Linked DNA regions of Kluyveromyces lactis. The protein of the gene in region 2 interacts with the protein of the main gene of each other region in a pairwise test. Links are inferred from orthologs where the notes say so. Each region holds a gene or a part of one and is shown on either strand. Other genes may lie near its edges.

What was found.
Region 1: the proteins of CDC45 (region 2) and TOF1 interact in binary tests that used the Saccharomyces cerevisiae proteins (3 or more experiments, as listed by UniProt). The link is inferred for Kluyveromyces lactis from reciprocal best matches to the Saccharomyces cerevisiae genes CDC45 and TOF1.
Region 3: the proteins of CDC45 (region 2) and MRC1 interact in binary tests that used the Saccharomyces cerevisiae proteins (3 or more experiments, as listed by UniProt). The link is inferred for Kluyveromyces lactis from reciprocal best matches to the Saccharomyces cerevisiae genes CDC45 and MRC1.

Annotation. Positions count from the first base shown.
Region 1 is NC_006039.1:184,090-194,654, forward strand, and holds TOF1 (Tof1p), read left to right. Parts: upstream 1-4,993; coding exon 4,994-8,482; downstream 8,483-10,565. Other genes in the region: SLP1 (Slp1p), read left to right, coding at 1-586; KLLA0_C02233g (uncharacterized protein), read right to left, coding at 819-2,285; AVT2 (Avt2p), read right to left, coding at 8,518-9,915; guanine nucleotide exchange factor SEC2, read right to left, coding at 10,178-10,565. UniProt on the Saccharomyces cerevisiae protein: Forms a fork protection complex (FPC) with CSM3 and which is required for chromosome segregation during meiosis and DNA damage repair. FPC coordinates leading and lagging strand synthesis and moves with the replication fork.
Region 2 is NC_006042.1:1,830,364-1,840,565, forward strand, and holds CDC45 (DNA replication initiation factor CDC45), read right to left. Parts: upstream 6,647-10,202; coding exon 4,652-6,646; downstream 1-4,651. Other genes in the region: ERG27 (3-keto-steroid reductase), read left to right, coding at 126-1,166; SAC6 (fimbrin), read right to left, coding at 1,364-3,337; KLLA0_F19800g (uncharacterized protein), read right to left, coding at 3,781-4,335; LCL2 (Lcl2p), read left to right, coding at 6,932-7,336; tRNA splicing endonuclease subunit SEN2, read right to left, coding at 7,511-8,620; REA1 (AAA family ATPase midasin), read right to left, coding at 9,319-10,202. UniProt on the Saccharomyces cerevisiae protein: Required for initiation of chromosomal DNA replication. Acts at the origin of replication. Also has a role in minichromosome maintenance.
Region 3 is NC_006039.1:30,203-40,539, forward strand, and holds MRC1 (chromatin-modulating protein MRC1), read right to left. Parts: upstream 7,973-10,337; coding exon 5,195-7,972; downstream 1-5,194. Other genes in the region: L-serine/L-threonine ammonia-lyase CHA1, read right to left, coding at 1,806-2,939; VAC17 (Vac17p), read left to right, coding at 3,746-5,128; ribosome biosynthesis protein KRR1, read right to left, coding at 8,382-9,374; ADF1 (Adf1p), read left to right, coding at 9,858-10,208. UniProt on the Saccharomyces cerevisiae protein: Required for normal DNA replication. Phosphorylated in response to DNA replication stress. Phosphorylation allows it to mediate the activation of RAD53.

The DNA.
Region 1 (10,565 bases), on a different chromosome or scaffold from region 2:
ATCAATCTTCAAGAATATTATGAAACGGCTTTCAGGTCTTGAAACTAACGGCACTATGTCTATTCTTTATATCGAGGAACAAAGCAAATTATTATCGAAATCCTTCGATAAATTAGAAGATTCATATAGTCAACAATTTGAAGCATTGGTTAAAGCATTCAACGAAACTATGACCTCGAATCTGGAGAACCTTAATCAATTCGCTTTGCAGCTTAGAGAAAGTTCAATTAAAATTATTGAAGAACAAAGATTGGCTACGGATAAATTTATCTCAACAACGACGAATAAAGTTGAGGAACTCGAAAATGCATATCAACACCAAGCTCGAGTTATGTATTTAATCCTTTTCGGTCTAATTTCGTCGATAATATATATTTCCCTGACTAGAGAATCCTATTTTGAAGAAGAAATGGTTGATGATGGTTGGTATACCGACAACTCTTCACTTCAAAAGCTCAAAAATAATATAAAAAGATCTGTGTCAGAAACAAAAGGCCATCCGTACACGGAAGCTGCTCATTACTCACCTATATCTTCCGACTCTGAATTTGAAGATGAGGACAGCATCGTAATACCTGCCAAATAATATGTTCTGTCTGTATTGTTCTATAGCTTTTATAGCATACCTATAATTCTGGAGAGATCTTTGATTTTAGAGTCAAATTGTTCTCAAAATGTGAATGCGCAGAACAGATGAGAGCAAAGATCTTAGTCATAGACAAATTCAAGGATATCATTTGTTAAAGGAGAACTGATTTAACCGTATATATTTTACACGTTTTCTATCGACTATTCAAAATTGTAAGGTAAGATATTCTTTAAATGTTCGGAGCAAAATCTGAAGATACACACTTTCGTAGTGGTGTCGGTAATCTGAGTGCTCGGGCATCTTTAGCCCTTGGAACGTCCACTAAATCTAATTCGTTATCTATAGATGATGCATCAGAAAGACTTCTTTTCGCTGAAAATACCGAAGCAGGGGTCCAAGGAGATGTTATTTCCGTAGACGACGCTGAACGGCTTGAGCCATGTAGTTCGTTATTTTTGAGAATCTCTTCCTTTAGTTCATCAGAACTCGGAAGTAAAACACTCTGATAAATTTTTAGCGGAAGCTCATCACGAATAGGGCCTTGTTGGCACAGCTCCAAGCCCACCATTATATCAGTGACCATATTTATCTGTTCGAGTAATCTTGTTCTATCATAAATTGGATTAAGAAGCGCCTGTGTTAATTTGCATAGATGGAGATATTTATCGATGTTCTGACTTGTATAAGCGGTGATATAGTCTTGCAAACAAATCTTATCATATTTGCTCATTAATGCCGTGGGTAGATCTTTATTTGCCGTTAAGGGTTTAAAAATATCATTCAGATATAGTAAGCAGCACCTTCTTATATCAACATGTGTGTTCTCGTCCACTCTTAATAGTGGTGCACATATTATAGAAAAAGGGTCTTTCTCCTTGCAAGAGCTAACGACACTATGATGACACACGGTCAAACCCAGACTCTCACATTTCAAGTCTAGAAAGTCCAGCAACAAGGTGGATATGTGCTTTTGAAAACAATTATCTCCTAGAAGGACAGAAGCTAAAATGATACCAGAAGTAGCTTTAACTGATGATGAGAAAGCCATGTAGTGTTTGTCATAACATGATAACTCTGCAAAAAAGATTGAAACTATCTGTAACATAGAAACGTCTTCTGTAGGCCATATTATATCGGTATCCTTGAAGCACAATTGAATGGCGTCGAAAGTTGTAAAGCATGTCCGTATGTTCCAGCGTAAAGTTTCCAGGATATGAGATTCCATTTGAATGAACATGTATGAATCATAAATGTGAGAACATGCTGAAATCAGTTGGTTTAAAGTTGGCGTCCTGGATTTTTTGTCCTCAAATTTTGCCGCTATCCATAAGGAAGTGGTTGTAACAAGCTGGTAATGTTTCTGAAAGACAATTCTTTTAGAACAATATCTGTCCATAATTTGTATTGCCAAGAATAAAACGGGTTCAGATAATCTGAGAATGCCATGAAGATCAATAAGGAAGTCTAACAAGTAAGGCCTCATGTACCAGTCTAGTTCAGGTTGATTATCTATCATTTTTGGGTTAGGTAAATCGCACTCTTGGAGTTCTTGGAAATACGCTAGTAATTCCTTCTCATAGTCCTTTATTGCGGTAGCACAAGCGCTAGATTCCAATTGAGCCAGCAATGGATGTGTAGATCTTGGTCTAGGCCTTGGAGGTCCACAACGACGGATGCCTGTGTCGTTTAAATACATTTGATATCTTTCGGCCCGTGATTTCTACCAATGCACTTTTGCCGATAATTACAAGGTCAGATATTATGTTCAAAAGAGCGAATAAGATATTTCGAATATCAACGTATGCTCAAAGCCAAAAAGAATGCTAAGTATATTAATTCAGAAAAGTCAACTAATCTCAGAATATATCAATGAATATCTTCTCTTTTTATGACTGATGCGTTTGAAATATTATTTCCTGAACGTGATGGTGTTTGACCAGCTTAGAGTTTTCCTTCAAATTGGTATGAATAATGTATAACAATATATGGAAGCAGTACCTGCTCCTTGATTTGGGAACCCTGTAAAAGTAAGAGCAGCGGTTCTCTTGAGTTTAGCTCAATTTTGAAGTGAGTTGCTCGTGAAAGACCTGCGACAACTCTATTACTTTTTTCTTTCACTTTTAAACCTCGAAGAACCCGGTCTGAAGATATGGAGAAAAGCCCGTGCAAGAAAATGTTATGTCGAAATATCGAGCGTAAAACGATAATAGGGTGGCTAGTGAACAAAGGCGGAAAAGAGAACAGTGAGAGTAATTTTGGTCCAGAAATTTAAAACAAAATATACTGCTGTGCGCTAAAAGCTATGCACACCTAAAGCCACTTCCCGCACCCCAATTTAATAGTCAATTGCAGGGTGTTTGCTTTGATTTCAGTTTGAGTTTCGGTGTAAACTCTTGTAGATATCTATTTGAATAAGATGCTTGATCAAGATAATGAAATATTAGTGTAGAAGGTTATATTAAATATTCAGGATGAAATAAAAAGAGCCCTTATTGTCGGGTATTATCAATTTAATTATTAACCTTAGTAGAAAACAAGGAGAACAACTGTTAACTTTACTGCTGGTTGTTTGGCCGATAAAAAACGACACCACATCTAGCACTAATGGTGTGTCTTGGAAATATATGGTAGTGATCACTATTACTAGGTCCGGGTAGCTGTGTTGTTTTAAGCTAGACAATAACTAACTACCTGTGATTGTCCCGTTCAAGTGTAGGTCGCCTCTCCCTTCAGGAAAACCCCACAATCACATTATCAAAAAAACTTCAATGTTGCTAAGCATCTGATCCTATTGTCCCCTCGTAGTCGAGCGGAAAACTTCGGTTATGAATGGAATGTGTTCCACACACTTCGATCCTGTTTATCCATAGATGCTTTCACACCTTCTATGATAAAGCTCAATCGATGCTGTGGTTGACTTGTAGGAAACCCGTTGTCAATCGATACCGCAAACTTTAAAAATTTTTCAGTTTACCATATTTGGTAATACATAGTAATGTTTTACCACACATAGTATAACCATATCGCAGTCATCATAGTGGTCTGAAGGAACAAAGCAAACACCAATCACACAATTCTTCCTCAGATAGCATTATAATCCTGAAATTTTCCTTGTAACAAAACCATCTAGCATTGGTCCTGTTTTGAACGTTCCATTTTTTTTCTTTCTTCACATTCTTAATCGACTGTTCTTTGTCATACTCTTGTCTACTTGCTGCCGTAAATCATTTTAAATAACTTGTGCGCAGTGCAACATAAATCTTACGTTTATCAAAGGCAGCAAAGGCATGGCATAGGTTCTATTCTACTTCCGTAGTTAATAATTGAGAGCATATTTCAAATATATTTTTTGCCTCAGAAATTGGAACAATGTATCTCCCCGCAATGATCCTATACCACGACACAAGATCACATACCCGGTATGTATAATCCCCCAGCACTCAGTAGACATATTCACCTCCCTCATTCATGTTCTCTACATTTGAAAGTTAAAACCTCAAAATCAAATTTCAGATCGATGAGTTAAAAAAATGGAAAAACCACAGATTAATGCTTATTGATCTTCATTGACAAATGAGACATCGCAAACCGGACCAACCATCTTTAACACACTATTGCAGTGTTTTTGTCTTTTTTGAGGAATTTCAAAAGCTTTTCCACTTATGTCTGCTCTTCATTAACGGAGAATGTCGTCACATAAGCCGAGTGCAATCAGAACCCTTATTTTTTGCTTTTTGTACGCTTTATTTACGACCGTTCCTAATACGGTCATGAAGATCGAAAAAAAAATATGCAAGATTATTTCTAGATTGACACAAAGGAGAACAAAGTAGCCATAGGAGCAGGTATAATACAATTTGATCAAATATTTTAATATATGGCTTGTGTTTGGTATCAATCTACTTGAAATTATATGGTGACTGCTACTATTCCTTTAGTTTGGTATGAAAGCTCAGCTTGAAAGCAAGAACAGTGAGTTACTTTCCCGCATGATATTTGGACTTTCGTCTCTGTTTCGTCGTTGGGAGAACAGTAATCTAACTAAAATGTTACGGAACTAATATTTAAAATTGAAACTTATCAATTGCTGATAGTGAGGCAATAAAACAGTGCTTGTACCGTGTATTGATAGGGGGGGCGAAGAATTACAATTTTCAAAATCACGTGATCTGGTTTTGTCTTACTTTTCATAGGAATCAATTCCAATCGAATGAGATTTTGATCATAAAACAGCTTTCAACAGTTTTACGCGTTTGAACAAAAGGATGAATATTCGAAGGGCTACCTTAATCAAGAGGGCAAATTCTTTCCAATTTGACCAATTTGACAACGAACATAACTAGTATTAGTTGAGAAAACTATTAGAAAACTTCTTTGGGTTCGTAGCTTTGACAGAAGGTAACTATGTCAGAACCCGATGACGTTGATACTGTGAAGGAGAGACTGGCAGAAGATAGGCAAAACATACATATTCAGAATGAATACCAGGATATTTCATACACAATCATTAAGGCAAGAATTGGTATGTTAGCCACGGCAATTGGAGGACCAGATCACTCTGTGGACTCCGTTAATCCACCTTATAAGGTAGGTGATGATTGCTTGGCTTGTATTAAGGATTTGATTCGTTGGTTCAAGTTAGTTGATGATAACCAGAAGAGATGGGATGTAGAAATGGCCACAGCTGAATTCAAGATCCTGCAGAATGATCTAATACCTATTCTATTGGATTGGGAGGCAAAAAATAGTGCTGCTACTAGGAAAAGTAAAAAAACAGGTGAAGATATCTCGATTTTCTTCCCGAATAAATCATATCATGATAGAATCGCTCTAGGAGCGTTGCAACTTATGGTGTTGATGACATGGCCCTTAATCATAACAGATCAGTCATCGTATAACCAAGTGAATTATTACTTTGAGCTGAAAAAGCATCAATTGCTGTATAAGCATGCAATTTTGACAACAGAAAACGGAAAGGTTCTCAAGGCAGCAATTAGATTAGCCCTGAACGTCATGAGTGTGGATGTAGATCATAGGACTGCTAGGGATGACTCTCTGATACGAATGGTTCTTAATTTTCTAAAAAATGTGGTGGCAATAGAACCAGGTGAAGTTACAATATCCAGTGTCAAAAGATTGAAGAGACCTTTGACTATGGCTGAAATGTTACCAACGAATATTACCGTTGATGATATTTCCATAAATAGTGTCATAACCGCATTTGATAAAAATAAAGTTTTTGGCTTTCTTCTAACAGTGGCTAGTTCTTTGTCAGACGCTGTTGACCCAAATTTCGTTAGTTGGCCGTTGTTAGAGGTCATGTTCTTCTTAACAAAAGATATTAACCCCATCCGATTGTTCAAAAACCAGAGAAAATCTTATAAATTGGGTACGGATCACGAGATTACAGACTCCAACATGACAACGTCAGGTAAACACCTTTCAGAATTACTTGCAAAGGAACATGAAAAGAAGCTTAATGTAATAAAGAATACTTCTTCTCGTCATTCTAGATTTGGCGGTTTATTGTCTATACAGACACCTCAAAATACGCGATTGACAATTGCTAGTAATTCTGTCAACATGCGTGATGATGCGGCATTACAAGAGTTAGACTCAAGAAAAAAATGGAATAAAACCATCACTATGAGACTCGATGTTATTGAAGGACTCAGTAGCAGCTTTTTTAGTACTGAAGGTAATTCTATTTACATGTCTTCTGACAACATTACTAGCATAAAAGAGTTTTTGGCAGATTTTGTTGATTCCAGTTTCAATTTGTTATTGCAAAATGCCACAGATAGTTTTACGAGTGAAATTCAAGATCAATTACCATTGCATAAGATTGAATACATGTTATTCATTTCGTGGTTTGTGAAATTCCAGAGATCACGGTGCATTTATGAAATTGATGCTACACCGGATTATGTCTCAGGCGCATTGTTAGATGAGTGTTACATTCTCTTTACAAAATATTTGAGAGAGAGTTATGAACAAAAGAATTGGCCAGTGGTCCATGCGGGTATGCTATTGTTCACGGAATACTTGGAGTTTTTATTATCTCTCGACCAATCATGGGAGGCAGATGTTCAAGCTGTGATAAGTAAGATTTTGAGCGAAAATATGTTGCAGCTATTGGCATCTCTCCCAAAATCTGCAACCAGTCATTCTTCACAATATGTTAAAGCTTGCATTAATTTAACACATGTGGTTTTGAAAACAATTGATAAATTTGATGAGAACAGCTCGTTGACTGTGGAGTCAAAAAGGAAGCGTAAGGTGAACCTTAATCACACAGCAATTGAAAAGTATGCAAAAGATAATGATTTAGACTATGAATCAGCCTTTGATATATTAGAAGAACAATTTAAACAAGTGACCATAAACTTTGATAAGGTTTTTCGCGGATATCTGACAGAACCAACGATATCAACTTACATCAGATATCTACAGTCTTACAAAGAACTGGAGGACAAAGACCTCATAAGGGTTCTAAAATTCTTTCAGAGAGTGTTTGTCAAAGCGAAGGAAGAATTATTTCTATTTCGAATTGACTTCATGATATTATGTCGAGAAATTCTAAGTCAACAAGGTCTGCCTACAACTTCTGAGCTAAGAACTCATTTCACAAAATTCAATGAGTACTACCTTAAGCAGCTCAAAAATAAACTGAAGAAAATGCCTTCTTTGTACATCAATATATTGTTCCCAATGCTCCATGACTCCCAAATATCATACTATATGAGACATGGAAAGATGAAGTTGACTGAAGGTACTCCTGACATAGTATTGCCCAGCACATTTATCAATATTCCAGATGAAGGCTCTCTTCCTAAAAAAGTTTTGTTAGATATGCAAGTTGGAATCTTGGTTTCTAGTCTTATCGATGATGGATATGAAGATTTGATTGAAGCTTTGTTGCTTAATTTACAGTCAAGTTTCGATGGATTGAAGGGTAAGGTAGCAGAAGGCATCAATTCACTAGAAGAGGAAAGAGTAAAAAAAGTTGCATTCAATGCTACTAATTCTGAGATAAAGAGGGCCTTATACCAACAGCCCGAATTCAGAAGGCTTTTAATCCTTGCTGGTTTTGCAATTCCGGAAGCTAATCAACCTGCTTGCTATTTCATTAATAATAAAACTCCTACTGAGGTCCAGTTGGTAATTGAAACTATACAAAAGCACAGGTCTCTTCCATTTGAATCTGAAATTGGAAAACCAGCTAGTTATTATTTATCGTCACATTATCAAGAGTATGAAGACCCTGAAGAATACGGATCAGATTTAAACAATGGAAGTTACTTCGAAGATTTAGAAATCATGGATAAGCGAACAGAGGGACGCGAGCTTTCAAAAGGAAAAGCGCAATCCAAACTTGTTCAGAGATCCAAAGGGAAAAGAAAGGCAATTGCTCATCATCCGGAAGAAAATGAATCAGATTTTGAAGCAAATGCAAGCAGCTCCACCAAGCTTCCAGTCGTTAGTAAGGAGTATATAATGGACTCTGACGATGAGGATCCCGACTTCGGCGCAATATTCTTCGAAAATGAAACATATCTGAGACAGCTCCTGGACAAACATAATGGATCGCTGACTGAAACGCAGTTCTCCCTTTTTGCTCAGTTTTGTGAAGAAAGGGTTAAAAATAATGGACAATTGAGAAATGATTACTCTGCTCTTTTTAATGAAACACCGAAATCACCAATCTTCTCCGACGTAGATGCCGAAACTATCATCATTGGAAGTGCCTCGCTTCCATCTTTGGCAAACGAGCCCATAGAGACCCAAGTTGTGAGCTCTGAAGAATACTCATCACATCCACTTGAGGAAGAAGTAACTTCGGAACAACGAAAGCGTAAAAAGCCACGCATAGAATCAGATACAGAATATTAGCTAACACAGCTGCTACATACATAGTGCTATAGATTTTACGCAAACGCTTCTAATATAGTTTGAGCGGTGCTCACGAACATGAGTATAACACCAAATACAATACAACCGCAATAAGGTAACTTTTCTTTCAAGGATTTTTTTTTTCCTGTTATAACCAAATTAGTGAGTGGAGGAAGTATATATGCCATGAGAGAAGCGCTTGTTGCTCCAATGATTTCTAGAAGTGCACCAAGATTAGAAGTTGATAAAGCGATACACATTATAATCAAAACTAAACCAGACGTTATGAGGGCATGCATTTTTGTCGTTAACTTTACTGGTTCAGGGTCGTCTTTGTTGTAATATATTATGTCCCTTATCACATCTCTCAAAACGAAGATTTCCAAAGGAAACGTAGTAAGCATGTTAAATCCCAAAAGAAGTCTGGCAAAATTAATCACATTATCATCAGAAGGGAAATTATTAAGAATATTACCCACTGTTTTGTCTTTAAAGTTAAGGAACCCAGAGTAAGCAGTTGTTAAGCAAACGATGCAAGAAAGAATTAAACTGACATGTGTCAACTGATTAAATCTTTTTAAAGAGGGATTTCTCAACGAGAAAAATATAAAACTCGTGTTGTGATGGCATACTAACGCAAATGAAATCACAGAAATGCCTTGAAATATCCTTGGTGTAATAAACAACTGATGTAAATGGAAAGTTCCTTTATATTCGCCGCTTACTAGTGGAGCTTTAACAACTATGATAATAACAATTGCAATAAGTCCTAAAAGTGCAAGCATTGATGTCTTTGAAAGCTTGGAGATATCCCTGTTAAGAGATAGCGGAAACGATATGAACAAAGTCACCAATGTGATAATGACATTCCGATGAAAAAGATCTGTATGAGAAGGGAAAAAGGCGCTCAAAACATGAGGTATTGAATCTCCAATGATAATGCAAAACCCAACGCAACCACCAAATGCAAATAGGCCGTTGGATACTAAAATCAAAAGTCCTCCCCATTGACCCATTGCTGTTTCTACAGATGCTTGATAAGTACTCTTACCGGTTAATTTCAAATTGATCACAATCAGACGAATGGTCCAATCAACCAGTATGGACATTAATATGGTCGCAAATAATCCGCCGATGATTCCGCAATTTTTCATCGCAAAAGGTTGCCCTATCACTCCTGATCCTAAAATACTATTCGCCATGTTCATGAAAGCCATGTACCTGTTAGATTTTGCCTCATTAGATAAATAGATGTCATCTGTTAATGGGTCTTCTTCATTAACATTAAAAATGTTTTGGTCAACTGCGCTGTCAGCTGTCTTCGCGGTGTCATCAAATGACGTTAACTCCAGTTCAAACGGATTTGGTTCATTCTTCGATTGTTTATCAGACAGAGCTAGTTTTGCATACTTTTTATCAGCGGCTATCTGCATCTGTATTAATTATAATTCACAAAGTAGGCCATAAGCGGTTCAACTATCGTGCGCTCCGTTTGCTACTACAACCTTCTTACAGCCATATTGTTTTATCTAAGGCAAGAAGAAATACTTGCAATATATAAATTTGGTGCTTAGTCTTTTGGGTATGATAAGGATGACGAAATTTGACAAATCACGTGCATTGAAATGAAACTCTCTACATCAGGTATTTATTGTTACAAAGTATGCAAGGTAGGAGGAAAGATTGTGCATGACACTAGTTGACGACATCCTTTGCATCGTTAAAACTATCCTCTTCATCAGAATTATCCAAATTTTCAGGCTTTTCAGATTCGGGTTCAAGATCAGCGGACAGATCTTGATAAGTTTCCAATAAATCACTTGGCTCTTCAGATGATGCATGGGTATCATGAGCTGATTCGGCACTTTCTTTGTTATCATTTAATACTGTGGATGATTGTGAGGGCTGTCTTGAATGCTGTGGTTCAATTTTTTTGCTTTTTTTCTCTTCATTCTTTCCTTGTAAATCCGTGGCAGTCTTCTCATTAGTTTTCTCATTATGATCGCCAATATCATCCGATGATTGATCTGTGTGACGTATACCATTGACTGTTTCATCCACACTGATAGAGTTTGCGGTATCC
Region 2 (10,202 bases):
CCAAATAGATGGTGATGATGATGCGACACAAGCGAAAAATTCCAGGCTACAGGAACCGTTCCCGTCCATTAGCACTGATTTACGTATACTAGTAGCTATTGAGTACCAATAATTTCAAAACCAGCATGTCTTCGTCAAAGGTAGCAGTGGTCACTGGTACAAACAGTAATTTAGGTTTGAATATCGTATATCGGTTGATTGAGAGAAGCGAGCCAGAGGACAACCTCACGATAGTTGTGACATCAAGAACATTACCTAGGGTTCGTGAATGCATTGATTTAATTAAGGCTTTTGTCAATACCATTAATAGGACTGGCTCTGTAGATTATGATTACCTGCTGGTTGATTTTACCAACATGATCAGCATTCTTGATGCCCACTACAGCTTGTCAAAAAGATACGATCACATCAATTACTTCTTTGTGAATGCAGCTCAAGGAGTTTACTCAGGGATTGACTGGTTGGGTGCAGTGAAAGAGGTCTTCTCCAGTCCACTGGAGGCCGTCACAAACCCAACATATAAAATTCAACGAGTGGGAGTCAAATCAAAGGACGGGATGGGGCTTGTGTTCCAGGCAAACGTGTTTGGACCATATTATCTAATTCAAAAACTGCTTCCGTTACTCCAGGCTGGACAAGGTACTGTCGTTTGGGTCTCTAGTATCATGTCCGCTCCTAAATATTTGTCTTTACAAGATATTCAGCTATTGGAATCCGATGTTTCTTATGAAGGTTCAAAAAGATTAGTTGATTTGTTACATTCTGCAACATATAAAGAGATGAAAAAGCTCGGAATCCGCCAATATCTCACCCATCCTGGTATTTTTACCAGTCTCTCATTTTTCCAATATTTGAATGTTTTCACCTACTATGGTATGCTCTTCTTATTCTATCTGGCCAGATGGATTGGTTCACCTTGGCACAACATACAAGGATACAAAGCAGCCAATGCTCCTGTATATGTAGCAACAATGGCTAATCCGCACTTTGAGAAGGAGCAAATGAAATACGGATCGGCAACTTTTAGAGACGGTTTAGAATATATTAAAACTGATGAAGTTGATACAACCGGCTGTGAAGATGTGTATAAATACATCTCCAATTTGAAACTGCAATGGGATGAAAAGTTAAAAGACCAGATTAAGCCTACAAGGATACCATTATAAATTTTACATAATTCAAATAAATCGTGTAGAATTATTGTTTATCGTAATGTTGCGTGCGAGTTGCTTATAAGTTACATATTAGATGAAGGATCATTTGAAAGTAGTCACATACTATTTGAAAGTGAGGACTTAAGGATTCGAAAATACATATACAGACTTTAGAGCTGAAGTACAGTAAATCTTGAAATATCGCTGTATTATCTCTTTAATGCCATCAAAGAAGCAACGAATGTCAATATCAATCTCGAACGGACTTCGTTGATGTCTTCTGGAACCAACCAGATTAGAGCTCCTAACTTTCTAGCAATAGAAATAGCCAATCTGGCGTTTGCATATCTGTCCTCTTCAGTTTTACCAGGTAACACTAATGAGTAGTCCACATAACCTGGGGCCAAACCATTTAGGACATCCAATAAGAAGTGAGCGTTGGACAACGAAGGATCGCTGAAAGATCTTATGGTGGATGATTTTCCACCCTTGGAAACTGTTTCTTGAGCCCACTTTAAGATTTGGGAATCAGACATATCTCTACCAGTCGTGGCCAATTCATTCATTGTATTGACAATATTCTTACGCATTAACTGCCACACCAAACCTAGCGTTAGTAGTTTATTACCGTCGACAATATCAGAGCCATCAATACCAACCAAAGAGAATCCTCTAGATTTACCTAAATCAACAGCATAGTTAGTATTTTCCAAAGCCTTGAAGCGTGAAAGTTCAGAGTCAGATGATTTCTTGTTGATTACCTTCCAGTTTACAGATCCAGGAATAACCTTATCATATGCCTGTAGAAGTACTAATCCATCCTTTAAGTCTTCGAATAGTGACACAACTGGAGGATCTACTTCCAAAGAATTTAACCACAAAGTGAAAACTCTGGCTTCTCTCTCACCTTCTGCATCGAAATCCTCAATTTCGATAGGTTCGTTTTCATCCAATGGATCCAAACCAGGATGAGTGTTGAATAGATGAGCAACGAAGGCTAAGTTTAATTTAGGATTACCAGCCACTAATGCCGTTGGAGTCAAATACTTTCTGCATTCCAATTTTTCAGCGTTTTGTAAAACTTCTTCTGCTCTTTCTAGCAAATCGGTGGTTTGTAGTGGTCCCAATGAGCATAGATTTGAATCCAATTGATTTAATAATACAGTATAATTTTCACCATCCTTGATATCAGAAGAGAAATTGGAGACCCTTCTGTGCCACCCAGCTTGTTTCAAATGGTAGTTGAACCAACGCAACAAGATTTGTTCTGGGGGTAGTCTTAGGAATTGCTCCAAAGTTTCATCTTCTTCTAATAAACGGTACAATTCCGGGTGTAATTTGATATCAATCTTGGATAGCAAACCTCTCCTAATAATTTGCCAAATTAAACCTAAGATCAAATGTTCTTTACCTTCAATAATATCTTCAGAGTGAACATTAACCACAACACAGCCGATAGCTTTAGCGGAATTGATCACAATGTTGGCGTTTTCGGAAGCCGTGAAAGTGTTCAAAGCCTTGTTATTCTTAGGCCAGTTTAACACTCTGGTATCGATGGTGTCCGGGACAGAATCGTTAATCAACTTGGACAACACCAACCCATCTCTACATTCGTCGAATAATTGGAAAGTATCGGTAGGGAAAGGAAGCCTATGACCAATGTCTGCGTCCCCAGCTAGCACGGAATTGATATGTGTAGTGAAAGCCCTTCTTTCTTCTTCATTAATCGTGTGGGTGGTACCAGAAGTGGAACCACCGACAATAATCTGAGCTTTCTCACCAGTACCTTTGTGTTGCAAACCAATCGATTTAGGTTTAGTTGGAACCGGTGGTGCACGGTTGCTCTGACCGGAAATGTTAGGAAAGCTCGTTTGTGGGAACCCCTTTGAATTGTCTTCGTCCTGTTGCGTACCTTGAGATGAACCGTTTGCTCTTAATTTTGCCATCAATTCCACGTAATCCTCCAATTCAACATGACCCGAAGCATCTACATCAACGGTCTTCAAAGTCTCCCTAGCTTCATCATAAGATGCAACACCAGACTTGGAAATGGATTCCAAAATTTGAGGTTTTTCAACCCAGCCCTTATCCTCTAGATCGATGTTTCGAAAATGCTCTATCGTTTCGAAGAGATCTTCCTGAGAAAACTCAGGGAACTTTCTTTGTAATCTAATAATATTCATTATTGATCAGTTTATATTGCTGTGATTCCAATCAATTGCACTAATACTGCAAGTTGTAAACCGTATAGGCAGAAGGAAAGACGAGGGCTTCCTTTCTTGTTTCGGGCGTGGAATACGGCTTTCAAGGTTTATGTTTTATATTCCACCATGTTAAACTTTATTCTTTAAAGGGCTTTTCGATTGGAAATGGAAAAGGAGAGAGTATGTGATGTTCGTATGTTATGATAATTGAAGGGAATTAAAGCCAGTACAAGCCTCCTGGTTCAGCAGTCTGATCATACGGTGCTTTACACGGGTTTCATCGTCCGTCTATCCATTTGCGTATGCTATTTATGCTTGTCGCAGTCTATTTGCATTAGATATATTGGGATATTCCGCACTGTGGAATAATCTTGTGAGCTGTGAGGGATGAAATAGTCACAGGAGTTAATACTACTAGCCAGCTATTCAGTGTTTTCCTCGTACTTCCACGCCTCATTTTGGACAAATGCTGTTTGGAACTGCCGGAGCTGTTTGTATAGATCTTGAGATGAGTTCGAGTAATCGAATTTCGGACTTGTTTCTGGCATGTCATCATCCATTAAATCTAGCTGTTCTCTCCATAGCGTTTGGTAATACGGTACATTGAGCCTGGATTCAGGTATTGCTCTATCTTTATCAAAAAGTCTTCTCATGGCAACCTCTTGTTGTTGCAATTGATCCACTTTTGTCTTGTTTAGTATATTATCATGGAGTATGAAAGGTGACGGATCGTATTTGAAACTGAGAGTGTTTTCAGATATCCCTGGTGCCCTTTGTTTCCCATTCATATCCCTGTTTCTATTGCGTTCATTCTTGTAATTCAACGGAGTGTAGAGCGAAGAGTCGCTGAATACATTTGCCGATGTGCCCATCCCAACGTTGAAATCCTCATCTGTTGAGTGTTTGACATGTTTGATCCTGCGGAACTGCGGGCTTTTCCAGGGTGGCAGACGCGGAAGATCTATGTTGTGCTCCATGTATTAACTTAAGAGCCTGAACAGCTACAGTTGAGGGGTTGAAGGCTGGTTCTTGGCAACATTTTGCCTATAATTATGACAAATTATTGTGGGTATTTTAGAATGCTTACCTTTGACTGACATTTGTGGCATTGGTTTAATGATCACGTGATATCAATGGTAAACCTAACAGATTTCAAACAGCTTGGACATCCCATAGTAGTGTCAATTTCGAGGTATCTGATTAGATTGTTACATAATATATATATATATATTAGATTTAAAGCCGAAAGCTCACCTCATGATATGCCTAAATTAATATGTTTGTGTCTTCGTGCTAAATCAATCCGCTTAATGTCAAACGTTCAAGGAATGGTTGTAGATCGTCTTTCCTGATTTCAATAATTGATGTCTCGAAATTGTCAATCCTTACTTTGGCACCTGTCTCAGCTGCTATTTGTTGAAATGCCACTGTGAAATTATTTAAAGTTTTCTGCTGTTGTTGTTGTAAAATGTCCAACCCTCTTGGGTACCTTGGCGCAATCCCTGCACAAAGATATGTGTCAGAAGTCTCATCTAAAGTTGCCAATACCAGTGGAAGTAACTGTTTTTCGTCATTTTCTGCATAGTATTCAATGAGCCATGATCCCAGCCTCAATAACGTTAATGGATTTCTATATAAATGCAAATCTGGTCCATCTTGTAAAACACATAGCCTGTAAATCCTTAAATGTTTCACTAATCTTTTCTCCAGAATAGCGACTCCAGTTTCAAATACACTTCTTTGTAAAAATGTTGCATGCTTAATCCCCTGAGATAAAATATCCATATTATTGTCCAATACATCCCAACTTGACCAAAAATTTGCAATCCATTTTTTTTGCCTTGTCTTCAGTATTCTGTTAATTTTTTGCTCTTCAGCTTCTTCGTACTCCCTATTCTCTTCATCACCTTGGTTCGTATCATCTTTTTGAGATACATTAGCTGTTGTCAAATTTTCTAGTGCGTTTGAAGCATTGCCAACTTCAAGTAAAGCGGTTATCGATTCGACAAATTCACTGGCACTTATTGATCCTCGGTAACCGAAAGTTCTCAAGAACCCATCTCGTACAATATCTTGTAACCCGTATCTATCGAGATTTTTATCGAAAAGTACGCCCAGATCTCTCTTGAAATTATTGTCCATATATATCCAGTTTTCCTGTGTAACACTCAGCGGAATACCCATGCGTGCAAACATTTTATGCAGTCTTTTCTTGCCATTTTCATTCCACAGTGACAGTTTGGCGTTGACGTAGTTAGAATAATAAAAACTATCATATAAGGATGTATGCCTCAGAAGGAATAAACTGTAATCGGGACGAATCTCAAGATTCAAAGAATCTGGCGTTTTAGTTTTTTCACTAGGTGTCAATCTTTTTACTTCATCTTTCAGAAGTGGTAATAGTCGATTGTATACCAACGGGAAGGAATTATCCAAAGAGGACACTCCTAGAATGCATAACCATAAATAATCTAGATTTGTCTCACCAATACCAGACAAAAGAGAATATATCTGAACTGAAAGGGAGTTCAGCACCGTTGATCCCTGTGAATAGTACTCCTGTAACACTTTTTCTAAGTTGTGAAACTCTCGCTTTCGTTGTTTATGTGATTTTTTTGGATTCAATTCATCGCTGGACCTTTTACCCAATACTACGTCATCGTCATCGTCATCGTCATCGTCATCGTCGTCTTTATCCTCATTTTGCGTTTCCCTGTCATCTTCCTCTTCCTCGCTATCACTGTCATCGTCCAATTCATCGCCAAGTTCGTTCTCTATCTCTATAAGTTTGTAGTATGCTTTCTTTTGCTCTGTCAAAGACTCTTCGACTGTTCCATCATCGAAACAGGTTATGCACTGTGAACCAAATAAATTATCCAAATTCCACGGTCTATGACAATCAAGCACAAATATCTCCTTCTTAAATTTCTGAACAACGTCAGTCTTATCTAATTGAATCTCATCTAATGGACCCTGCGTGTTTTCTTGTGGATCAATCTCTAAAAAAGATTCAAGATCTACCATCCCTCCACAACCTACAAATATAACGCTATTGATATTTTCGTCCAGTCTCTGATAGTGATCCTTCAATTCCGAATAACCAAACACGGGAACTAACTGTGATTGTACCAATTGCTTCTTGAATAGACTGGATAGCATCTTCGATGCACATAACGCGTCAATGTTTAAACACGAAACAAAAATCACCAACTGACATGAAGAATGAGAACTGCATCGGTGAAGAATTTTATCATAAGCACCCACAAATTCAGCAATGCCAATATACATCCTCTACCTGGCACTTTGATGGCCTGCAGTGGTTTTGTTTGCAGTCTCTTTTCCCTCGTGAGCTAGTCATCTCATGTATTTACATAAATTTCTTTAAAATATTGGTTTGGAATACTTACACGTTTAAAGATTTTTGGAAAATCGATTACTTGTCATAAATGGCATACATGCGAAATATTCGAAATATTCGAAGAGATGCCAAGATTTACAAGACTATAGGTACTAAACACTGCTATCTGATATTTCATATTGCAGTATTACGAAATACGAAGATCTTAACTTACTATGAAACTACTGGGAACAATAATTGGTTCAGCATTCTTTTTACAAGCTGTGTCTGGATTCTTTTTCGATTCAGGTCACCAGAATAGACAGCAACAGCAGCAACAGCAGCAACAGCGGGATGTTGGCTCTTACCAGCAAATGTTCCTAGATAATGACTGTCCGCATTATTTATGTCCACAGACATTGGATTGTGTGAGACAGAAGTCGGATTGTGCGTGTCCGTTCCCTAATTCACAATTGAAATGCAATCTACCCAACGGTCAGGTAATTTGCATCTCAAAGCCAGCAACACATGATCCAACACTGGTAGAGATTTATGATGATCCAGTAATGGGACCAGCTCAACGTACTGAGGGATTCAGAGATTGTGGATGGATCTTGGATGTATATGACGGCAAGATTTAGAATGAGAGATCTTTCTTTCTGTATCGGCCATAATACTATTACAAACATAAACTGATAATATATATAGAGACATATAATACAGACCATTACTGTATTTAATGCAATTAACTAGCATGGGTTTATTTTTACTCGTTTGAGTTCTTCGCGGAAAAGATCGTTACCGGTTCGGAACAGTTAATCTCTGTTCTTACCTGCAACCCATCTTTTGTATAACAATTCATGGATTTTAAAGTTTCTGAAAAGCTCATCGTACTTTGATTGCTTCCAAAGTTCCATTAAGTCATCTTCAGGTATGAGTTGTTCAACGTAGCATAATACAAACTGTTTCTTGGCTCCGCCCACGACTCTGGCAGCGCTTGAATACCAAGTGTAATCATTTGACTGGTTTGCATCCAAAACCATGATTCCATACTCCGCATGTTGGAAAGGGGGTCCTCTTCTGTATAATAAGTATTCGCAACCAAATTTTATCCCCGATCGTACACACCACCCTTTGGACCTGTAATGATGGTACGCGACATATTGATGAATTAATTTCTTGATGTCTTGGAAACTTTTCGGTTCCAGTACCAACGAAACCATTAATTGTTGCAATGTGATCTTCAATACCGGCACTGCATAAGAGAGGAAAATAGCCTCGACGGGCATCAATTGCAAGCTTTCTAGTTGAATCACTGATTTGCCTTCTATTAATCTTAAATCTTCGTCACGTATTTGCATCGAGTCCTTTTCAAAAGCTAATTCTTTATCTCTTTGATTCTTTAAGAATAACCTTTCTTGTTCAATGAATTGTTCGTCTACAATCCCCTTTTGTCTCATTTCTAACTTCTTGGCTTCAAATTCAGCTCTCAGTTTCTTGAATTCGAGCCGCTGCCTTCTTCTAACGTCTGTAACATGCTCTAAGTTGATTCGATCAGCATCATTTAGTTGCAATCGAGACATTGTTCTTGCCTGCCAGTTGGGTTCACTCCGAGATAGTTGACCAGTACCAAAGAATCCGTGTTCCCATAAATACTTCATCTGCCATTGATCACATACCAAAATTTGACCTAATTGGTTGATCTTGACGTCAATAATTCTGGTTTCACTCCATCTCATCGCCCAATCTAATATCCAGGAAAATGCCTGAAAGGGATGTTTCCATACAGACGGTACAGGCTGCGCCTCTATAGGCAACGCATGTTTGTATTGCAGCTGATTTCTATGAGATCGCTTCGACATTGTAAGTACTTGCCTCCCGCGGTCTTCATATATAGTTACTAAACATGCAAGAGAGATTAGCATTGGACAAAATATGGTTTTATAACTGATCTCTAATTCAAAAGAATTAAGTTTCAATAACTAAAAACTCGAATAAGCAGTACAGAGTTAAGGAGTGATATTAGGTTTACATATTTTACTAAGAGGGGTACGAATTAGAGTAGAGAAAGGACAAATCAGATACCGTTGTAGTCTATTGAGAAATCGTGTGCTCACATTGAAATAAATTCTTCGAGACATCTAAAATGGTTTATCATCATATATAAAGAAAAAGCCCTTCAAAAAAGAAAAATATCCACAGAGGTAACATATCTTACCGCTCACTCCATCTGGAATCTATGAACAGTAAGTATGCTGGCTGTATGAATCAACTACAGTTGGTTTATTTTTTGGTTGATCAGAATACTTATATATGTGGCATCAAACATATCTTTTCTCTTCCAAGCTCATCGCTTTTGGCCTTTTATACTGAAAAATGAAAATTTTCACGTTTGTGAAATGTCAGTATCACATACAACGGACAATTTCTATACATTTCGGGCTCTAAGGAGGCAGAGATTCTATGTGTTGAGCCGGGTCTGGGTTAGGGCTTTAAATAGTTTAGTACCATGAAATATTGGTATATTTTTATTTATTGTTGATATTGTTATTACGGTATCTAGTTAAAGATCTATTGTACAGTTTTATACTTTTTTTTAGGTTTTTGACGTGATGTTGTCCATCTACATGGATGCCATCTCTGAGAAATACTGTCTTAAGATAATGGATAACATTTCTGGGAGTTCGGTAATGTCATGAACGACAACGTAGAATTCGAATGGGAATGTGTCTAGGTATTTCTGGACTGATAGTTTCATGTTGCCGAATTGATCTGGAATATAGTTCACTTGAGACATATCCATGATTGATTCGTTAGAGTTAATACCATCGATGACAACGAAAACGAGCATGATTTTATTTTCCCTTGCTCTGCGAACCAATCTTACTAATGTTTCGTGGTCTTCACAAACACCATCGGAGATGATAATTTCCAATTGCCATAGGTCGTTACTCTCCATAGCTCTTGCTCTTTCAAAGATCTTGATACTTTCAGCTACCAATTTCTTGACATCGGTTCTTGTTTCTTGGAAATCAAACCATTGGAAAGTCTGAGCACCAGTTTGGGTATTGAAAGGTTGGTTGAATGGGTGAACTTCTCTTACAGTTTCACCGAATTTCACGATAGATAAACCACCGGATTCAAGTTGAGTTAAAGCCTTAGAGACTAAACAGATACTTTGGAAAGCCAAATTGACAGATTTTGATTCGCTCATAGATTTGGAATCGTCTACTGCAATCATGATTTGATATTGACGCTTACTTGGTTTTGTTCTTCTTAACCAAATCTTGTCCTTACGGTACTGTGAAGCAATATATGGAATAATTCTCTTCATATTCAACCTTTTACCAGTTTTGTAATCACCCTTCAACTTTGTGGCAAGAGTAGGCTCAAGAATCAAACGTAGCTGTTCACTTAAACCGGCTGCCAACTCGTTCGTTTCTTGTTCACTTCTCTTCCATAGTTCACGGGCTTCGTCGAATGGTCTTGGGGCCACAGCAACAGAAT
Region 3 (10,337 bases), on a different chromosome or scaffold from region 2:
TTATCAATAAATAAATTTAAAATATGTTCTAATACATATTTATTAATAATATGTTTTTGACTTTAACAACTACAAATCAGAATGGCATCCAGTTACATCAATACTACTAACGCTCTATGCCAAGCCCCTACTACCAAACATGATGAATATCCAGTCCAACAAAACTGATTATTGCTTTATGGTAATATGAAGGTTAAACAGTAGAACCAAGGAGAACATCGTAAATGATGTCCTTGATAAATTAAAGTTCGTATACTAATCATCAAAGCCAACATCCAAAATACCTCATTGTTGGCCACGAAGTCAGAGTGACATTTATTGGCATGTATTGATATGTTAGATTTATTGAAGCTGACAGTCATTTAGCTATTAATAAAAATTAAAAATAGAAATGATAGAAGGGATTTAGTGGTATCTCAACATATAAGATCTACAGATTGAATGATAGCTATTCAAGATAATATTTTAACTTGAACTCCAAAAAATAGTAGTAATTTATCAGTTATTTACCTAAATATAAAAATATAGAGTATTTATTATCAATATACAATTTACATAGGTACAAGTGTATATTTTATTTTACAGTTAAATTTATGAAAAGTATAATTTATAATAACTCATAGTCAATATGTATGTCTTTATAGATTGGGGAAATTCTAAGTTAATTAGAATAAACTATTAATAAACAGTAAATATTAATCGTATTATATATACATTTCATAAGAAGAGATACCTTATGTTGGTAAATGGAGTTGAGCTGTAAACTTAATGACTATGTTCTTCCTAGATTCAATTGATATTCCTTTAAGCCCTGCGGTCTTTTCCCGAAGCCTACTAACCATCTAAGCGAAGTCCTTATTACCGACTCTCAATGGCATCCAGTCCAATAGTACAAAGAAGTGTTAGAGGTGACAATTACAATAGTTTAACTTAGTTAGTTATAATTCTTTCTCGTTAAAATTTTAAGATAATGGGAGTCAAAATTCTAAAGGTATGTAGGCATTTTCTCGGTTTTGCACATTCAAAGGTTTTCTTCGGATATGATATACAATTTTTCACAATTTCAGCGCTGTATTAATTATACGTTTTGGAGTGACTTATACCAGTGAGACTCCCAAGAATATTGACATAAGAGAATTTTTTCTTCTGAGCAGTTCGAACTTACAAGACCTTTCTTACATGTTTTTATAAATGTACCATACTTATTTGGAGTCGCATATATTTCAGTACGGTGAGCAGGAATATATTCTTTCAGAAAAAATGTTCTATTGACAGCCATGAAACTTTGTGCAAGGTTATAAACTGCCGTTATGTTTCACCATTATAATAGTCTGAAATTCCTAATAAAGACAATTTATAAATTTTATTTTAACAATACTATTTAAATAGTTTATTCTTCGTTATCGGCCGATTGTTATTATCATATTTTCATTCAGAATTATTATAATAATTCAGAATTAATAATTTCCAGTAAGCACTATTCTTTTTGAAAGAATGATTAATTGTTCCATTTGGGCTGACTGCATTAAAACCAACTTTATTTGCGGTATCTATAAAAACATGCTTACTTAAAGTCCAAATTATAAAATGAATTTCATTGTACTCTTTGCGGAGCTCAATGAGCTCACAGTGCCGGATTTATAGTAAATTTAACCAGAAGTCAGCCAGTATTTTTTTTTCTCTTTTCCCGATCCAAGGTCATTATATACCAGTAGGACACTTTAGCTGATAGAATTTTGCAATTAATTATATATGGCTTTCTCCTGCTTTTGAGAAGAAAATCTTCCACATTGTTTAAGTTCGCACTACTGGAGTGTGTGTAACGAATGGGAATTCAGACGGCTCACACCAGTAGAAGGAAGCTCAAATTCACAATTAGTAAAACTAGATAACTCTTTAAGATCCTCTAAGCTTGTAGATGACCCACCACAACCGATCAAGATGACATAATCATCATCTTTAATGTCTGAACCGAGAATATTTTGTAGTTTATCGATATTATACCCGAAGTATAACGTTGCCCCACACCCAGGTTCCGCAACTATGTTGGTATCGTTAGAAAATTGAAGGCAAGTTGAAATCACTTCAGTATCAGAGATGACAGCTGACTTGCTTCCGTGACGTTTCACATTTTGGTAAGCCGTTGTTGATATGGTTGCTGTCCCTAGTGAAGTAGCACAACTGGATATTTTTTCAAACTCCACTGGTGCTCCTACACGCAAAGAGGCGCTCAATACGTCTGTTCCCTTCGTTTCGACACATACTATCGGAATTTTGTCAGCTAAATTATACCGTTGCAAACCCAAAATCAACCCGTTATATAGACCTCCGCCTCCAAAACTGCAAACAATACCTTTAATTTTGGTTATAGGTATTTTTGAACTAGCCAAGACATCCATGATTTCATCCACCATAAAGGAATGGCCTTCCCAAATTAGCGGATTATCGAAAGGATGGCTGTAAATTGGCTCGTATTTAAAGGAATCAAGTTTCTTCATAAGGTGCTCCTTCATGAAAGAATCTGCCTCTTTCCAATGGTTACCATGAACAACAACATCTGCGCCGTAGGAGCGAATCTTTTCTATAATTCTTGGACGTGTTGCATTCGACACAACTACTGTACAGGGAACGTTCAATTCGAGGGACGCAACCGCCGCCGCCAATCCAGCGTTACCGCCAGAGCTAGCAAACACGTGACCGATTTTTTCAGGCGAGGATTTCTTTATTTCTTCTACCTTTGTAGAGATTAAATGTCCGATACCTCTACTTTTGAAACTACCACTCGGCTGTAAAAATTCATACTTCAAAAGCACTTGAGGGCCTTTACTTCTTTTGAATTGATGTTTCAATAACGGTGTTTTGCTGAACAATTGGGCTTTCATTATTAATCTATTAATACTCGTTTGACTATATGAAGTTGGAAAGATATGGACATACATTTAGCTTTCAAGATGAAGAGGTCGAACTGAAGATTGGATTCAGAGATCATCTCAGCACACCCCCCTAAATATATAAGTCCCTGCTATGAAAGATAACCGAGCATTAGATGGTTGCCTTATCTATACGAAGCATTGAGATGCCTGTCATTTCCTTATAATACAGGTACAAAAAAACTGACAAATGCAAATACAAATCCACTACGGAAATATATATCCGGATATTTGGACTATCTTATTTAAGTTTTTCTCTGTTGGTAGAGATGTCTTCTGTGGTCCCCAAAAAATGAGATCTTGAGAGCCCAAAACCCCAGACCTCCAAAATAGGCAAACCACGAAACATTTTTCCAAATTTGTCGGCAGCTCATCTCATTGTTCTCGAGACAAAAAAAATATGAAATCAGAAAACAATACACCATGCCAGATTAGATTTGATGTTCAAGATGGTTAGAAGGTAAGAAGAAATGAGGAACTAGTAACAAGACAAAGAGCGAAATAATGGACATATTCTACTGACTTGAAGATCTCTCCGTTTTTGTTTCAATTTAAATTTCAGACTGGTATAAGCATGTTCTCATTCTCTTAACAGCTCTGAGTAAATAATCATTAGAAGTGTATTTTTTATTATTTTTTTCTTGTCTCTTTTGGACTGTTTTTTTTCCTTTTGACTAAATAGCCATACCCATACACAGTTTATCTGTCTGTTCAGCATAGATACAGCACAACACACCATCTTGTAAGTAAGAGATCTAGTGAGAGGGGGGGTGAAACTGAATTAAGAGTTAGAAGAGTGTTGTTACTCGAAAGGAATGGAAGATATGAGGTACGTAGCCGAGAGGCTAGTTATCCGGTGTAATGAAGCCGTTATGCAACTTGAGCTGTCCATCCAGCGAAAGATGTGTGAGTTTGATCCAAACAATTCTCACTGTTTTATACAGGTACAGGAGTACTATTCATTCCTGGCAAGACTAAGCTCTTTGAAGTTACGTGCTGAGCATGTTCAAGAAAGTCTACGTCACCAAAGGAAAGATCCAAATGATGTCTGTATCGAATATGAGACTTTGGAGAAACTGATCTACGAATTTCAAGATATAACAATGAGTTTAAACGAAGTGGCCAGGGCATATCAAAGTCCTACAAAATCAGCTCGTTCAGGGTCCAGTAAAGAATCATCTGTTATCCCTTTGAAAACCCTGAAGATCATTGAAAGGAACAGGGATTCTTTAATAGGCACTTCTCCAATGAAAAAAAGCCTATCCCAGCTGAAAAAGGAAGAACACAATCAGTCACTACCAGCAAAGAGAAATGTGAGGTTTCAAGAAGATGATTTAGATATTTTGCACCATTTGCATTCTGTAAAAAGAGCCAATTCTTTACCTGGATCACCAATGCCGGATACACTACTGGAATCGCAGATGTTCTCCCGAGAACATAAAACTCTTCGAATGGCGAAATCATATGATGTGGGCTTGAATGGTAGAGCAAAGAAGAATGCGGACTGGGAATTCTTCAAAAACAAAAACCGTTTATCACTGTCAGTTTTTGATGATGTAAATACAGATGCTAGTGATGAAGAAACCGTAATATCGGTATCCCCACCAAATATATCATATTATCTATCCCAAAATGAAGATCAATATCCATCTAAACAGGTAAGGCGCTGTAATTCTCATGAAAGCATTCTTTCTAGGAAAATTCTATCACCTTCAACTCCAGCTAACCTAATAATGAGACCAACGTACCAATCTGTTTGGCAGAAAAAGGCCATCGTCACAAAACCAACAATAAGCTGTAGTACTTCGAATTCAACCGCTTCGCCAACTATCGGGTCACCGCATCTATCAAAAGATATGTTGAGCCAGTTCGTAACAGCTCCACCATCTAAGAAGTATAGAGGATGGTTCAGTTCGTCCAACTCAACCCCATTTGCATCCTCTATTTTTCAAAAGTGGTTTAATTCGGACTCTCTAGTAACGAAAGAAATTGGAAATCCTGATAATTCGTCTCCATCGAGTGGACGACCCATTGTGGAAAATCGACAACGGCATTCAAGCTCTAACAGTTACTCTACATCGATAGTAATAGGACCGAATGGCGCAAAGTTCATCCGTGGGCTAAATGACCCATTAGTAACTTGTACTGTTTCATATAATGAACTTCAAGAGGCATTGAACACTGAATTTAACTTCTGATATAATGATTATACAAATGTAATTTTAAGAGATTTTATAATGAAATTGACATATTAGTTGGATGGGTCAGGTGAAACTATCGGAATTGGAGTCAAACAAGCTAGATGTTGGTTTGCGTACCAACGGTGTGGATTTTCGGCCTTGGGGTGCCTTCAATTTTCTCTTTTTACCCAAGAAAGTGATGGCAGATCGAGAACCAGAGGCTACTCTATAAGATTTAGATATAGTAACAGTTTTGATCCCCGTTTTGAACTTGTCATTAACATCTGAGTTTGACGAAAAAGACTTTACGATGCTGGGCAATTTGAAGTCCAGAGATGTACCATCCACATCATCAAAGAAGGCGGAGTTTCTATTCCTTTGAGGGGAATCGAGAGATTTAATATTGCTTCGCTGTTTCAAAGATTCCAAATCCTCAGTTGCATCATGTGCTGCTTCAGTGACCTCAAATTCATTGATATCATCATCTTTTGCACTTAAAAACGATAATGAACTCTGAACAAACTCTTCTGATATGACAATTTTCTTCTTTCCCATCTCATCTCGAGTATTGCTGAATGATGTGACAGCAGGGATTGACTTTCTAGTTATATCTTCCACCATACTATCGAAAAAGGCTTTTGATTTTGAGTTATTGACTACACCGTCCACATTTTCTAGTAGCTTTTGTTTCATTATTTCTCTTCTTTTTTCCCTAAACTGTCGTAGTAACTCATCCTCATCATCGCTTAACTCAAGATCTAGTGCTCCTCGGCCACGTTTACGAAAGCCTCCGGTATTGATATCATGTAAGATTTTATTTATCATCCTTTCGTCCATTTCTTTGTTCTCTAAGGCTAACCTTTCTCTTATTGAAGCGGTATCAAACTTGCTTTTGGAAAAATCATCTATCATGGTATCCAAATCTGAGTCATAGTCATCTGAATTCTCTCCGTCAGCACCACCAACACCATGCCATTCATCCTCAGATTCTTCTGCTTCCATTTCCAATATTTTGTTGAGACCAGTTGATTTAAGTACTTGCTTCCGCTTTTTTGCTGCCTCTATTTCCATTCTTCGGCGCATTTTAGCCCTTTCTTGAAGCCTATTCCTTTCTACTTCGTCGAGCTCGTCCTCTGAGGAATCAGAGTCTACTGAGGAATCGGAACTTAACTCTCCCACCAATAATTTCGCTGAATGTGATCTGTTCATCTTCAGTTCTGAATTTGAAGGCACATTTCTGTCACTTTGATCAGCACCATCATTTTCCGTTACATTTGAGGAAGTTAAATTATCGCCATAATGCCCTAAATTGATGCCAATCGGCTCCTGGGTGACTTCATTATCATCACTTGACGAAGAACTCTCGTCATCATCTATTATAGGATTGTTGTTTTTATGGGCTGCCGATGTATCCGCGCTATCTTCGTCTGAACCAGTGGACCCGTGTAGCCCTAAATGCTGCTCGACATCACTATCTGATAAGCTTAAATCACTCTCCATCACATCGCTATCAGGGACATCGGATGCGCTACCAGAAGATGCAGCTTTACTCGTATCTTTTGATTTCTCTCTTTCTCTTTTTTCTCTTAGTTTAACTCTCCTATTCCTTTCAAGCTCTTGCTCTAGAAGCTTTTCAACTTGAATCTTTTCATCTTCAATCGCTTCAAGTGATATTCCTTTTTTACCGGATATTTCTCTTCTAAATTCAAGTATCTGGTCTCTGTTCTTTGTTTTCAAAGATGTAAACAATTCCTTCAAAGAGTCAACTGTAGAAACATGCATGTTCTTTGCTTTAGTAGCCTTATTCCTGGATCTCTTAGCTTTAATCAGCAATAATGCTGCCTTGGACGATTGTGATTTATAGTCATCTTCAGATTCGGACGAAGAGTTCAGTTCAATAACATTTTGTGGACTATTTTTCATAGTAATGGCAATAATCCCATTCATATTAGTAACAACACTCTTCTGTTTCGTGACTAACTCTTGAGTAGATGCCATATCTTTCAATTCATCAGCATCATTTTCCTCATCTGAAAGATCTTCTGCGTTGGATGACTCCGAATCATCAAAAGCTGCAATGAACTGTTCAGGGAGGTATTTCTTTCGGACAGCCTTTAATGGTGCTACAGGTAAATGTGGTTCTTCTATAGTATCTTTTATAAGAGGCACGGCTTTCTCCTTTTCAGCAACATCAAGTTGAGTAGCGACCACTTTTTGCTCATTCTCTATTTGAGTTCCATTTGGTTTAGTTGCCAGTAGTCCTTCATTGTTGTTTGTTGTCAACTTAAATGTAAACGAAGTATTTCGAAAGGAAGTTTCTTTACTGTGCAGCAATTTACTTTCGGTTGCAGCTTTATCAAGAGTGTGTTCATCTGGTGTAGTCTGTGTAATTTCCTCATTGTTCAATTGTGTGTCTAAATCTTGCTGTTGTCTATCAATGGTTCTGTTGGTGCCCTCCAGTGCCTGAGTATTTACTTGAGTCTTTGCCAGCCAAGATGAAGAGAATGTAGGAATTAATTGTGTCTGAGATATTGGATGTTTTTTCTGTTGGATTTCCACTTCACGCTGCTTTGGTACTGCAGCAGTTTCACGCATTGCCTCAAACTCATCGTCCAACTCTTTACCTTCATACAAATCGGTATCACTGTAGAAGAATGTGCTTTTTTTACTGTTATCAATTGCCGAAGCAGTGCTATCATCTGAATCTCCATTTAGTCTCTTTTTGACTCTTTCAAGCAGATTCTCTGCTAGAAACTTGTGCTCTCCCACGTTCAGCTCTTCATCTTCTGCATCGTTCGCTTTAGAATATGTTTTGCCTTTCTTTTTATGAATGCCAACGTTCAAATCATCTAGTAGGTCCATTCTGCACTTGATAATGTGCCGAAGTGTTTGCAAGGTGTTGAATTCCTTTAATAAAACGGTTATAATAATGCCTTACCTGGTAACATTATCGTGCTTATAAGATTGGGCTGCGAGCCTTAAATATTTACGCGTTTTCTCATTTTTCTTTTCAAAAAACCTTCTTGATCGTACGTACTATATTTTTGTCACACCGCAGGTTTTGACATAAGGAAAAGCAAGAACGTTGCTGGCATGAATGATAGTTAGTGAAAAGCGTATACGTGGTCCATAAATATAATCGTAAAGTGTCTACTGGGACGATTTTTGAACAAAGCAACTGGTTGAAACTTAACTTAAAACTATATTTCTTAATTTGAGTCATGAGAAAAGGATGGAAACGCGATTATATAATAAAATACTTACTAGCGCTTTAATCGGTACGCTGTCTTTTCCTGTCTCCTAAAGAGCTCTTTGTAGATTTTGAAATTGAGCTTTTGTAGTCGGTTTCTTTTGGTGCAATAAAATCCTTGGCTCTCTCGCTTTCCTTTTCAGCGTGTTTAGCGGCTTGTTGTTCCCTGCGCTCATGTAACTTTTTGACTTCCTTCTCCCTCTTGCTCAAGAAATACTCACCGGACTCAATCTCCAAATCAACCTTTCTAGGTAATTGTGCAGGTGGGAATGGTGTGTATATTTTCTTCTCCTTGATCTTCTTTGGTTTCTTTCTTGCAACATTTCTCTTCTTGAACATAGGTAAAAATCTAGACCAGTCTTCCTCGGCTAACTCAGGCTTCTTAGCAAGTTCTCTCTTTATCATGAGTTCTTTGATATGGTAAATAGGATGTACGTTTTTCATACAATCTTCGACGACACGGCGTACTTCCTTTAATCCTTTATATGGTCCCATTACTGAGACAGTATTACCTTGGACAAGAATATAACATTTTGTTAGAAGCTCCAAGGCTTTCAAAGTGTTACCATTAGGACCCACTAGTCTCTGCCTTCTTTTCACGAACCTTTCTTTATTAGAAACAAAGTTACCAATCTTTATAACATCACAGGCAACATCGTCTTCTAGGATTTTCACTGCTTGTGGGAATGGCACAGATCTGGCCAAAAGTTTAATCAAATCACGAGCCTTCAAGATTACTGCTGGATCATACGTTTTTCTTGTAGTCTTTACAGTCATAGAACCTTCAACTAAATTCAATTCGCATGCAATATGATGTGCATCGAGAGACCTCGTAACGTCTTTCCAAACTGATTTCAAGTACGCTTCTCTGTACTTTGGAAATAGAGTCATAAAACTGGATTCTTCAGCAAAAGGAAGGCCAGACTTGTTGTCCTCGGGTTTAAACTCCTCGATATTCCATTTGTCAACCTCGTCCGTATCCCAAGGCTTGTCTTTATTATGAGTAGAGACCATCTTTCAACTCACGACTAAATCAATATCTACCTCTTTTTCCGATACTTGTGAGTTCGCAAAATTGTCTGTTGGCCTTTAGTACGCTTCAAGCTAAACTAGGGTTTTATAAGCGGATACTGAAGACAATGTGGTGCAGTGAGGCCATGTCATCTCATCTCATCTCATCTCATCGCATCACTTATAATTCATTCGAAACTATTTTTTCCATTTTTATTTTTTTTCCTTTGCCAATTTCATTATCACTGCAATCTCGTGCAGTAGTAAACAAGAAACACAGACGGAGCATCATAATTTCTTTTTAACGAAGACGATGGTTCAAATCGTTGCTCAGTTTCTGAAATCGAAGATTGAGGAGAGTTTACATTTATGCACTTGCATGCAGCTGCTGAGGTGCTATAGTATCCATTCATCCTAATCATTTCTGTACTAGTTGGATAGGATTTTTTTGCAGGATCTTCGAACTTTAACGGATCATAATTCGCAATGGCCAAGAAACAGGATAATGCTAGGTCGAGGAAGAACGGTAACTCATCTTTCAATCATAGTGATAATAAGATTTCTAAAAAGCATAGCATGAAGAACAATATGAAATCTAACAAGAAGAAAAATCAAATGCAAGTTAGACAGTTAGACAAGCTTGACTTGAGCATAGCGGACATTGTACCCAATAAAGCTCAAAAGAAACCGAGGTCATCTGCCAGTCTTGAAGGTCAAAAGGTCAGAGAGCATTATAAGGAAGACAAAGAGGTAGTAAAGAAGCACGATAAAGAAAAGAAGGCTACTGAAAAGAAAATTGAAGATCAGCTTGAGCTGATATCCGGCTTTTCTCTATAACGCTTGCCCTATGTTCACGCTTTTATTTTTCTGCATTTGATAACCTTAATCTTATAAAGGGAAAAACACTCACTGTATGCTTATCACCAATCATATTGGTCTGTGATATGGACTTTATCGCGTAATTTG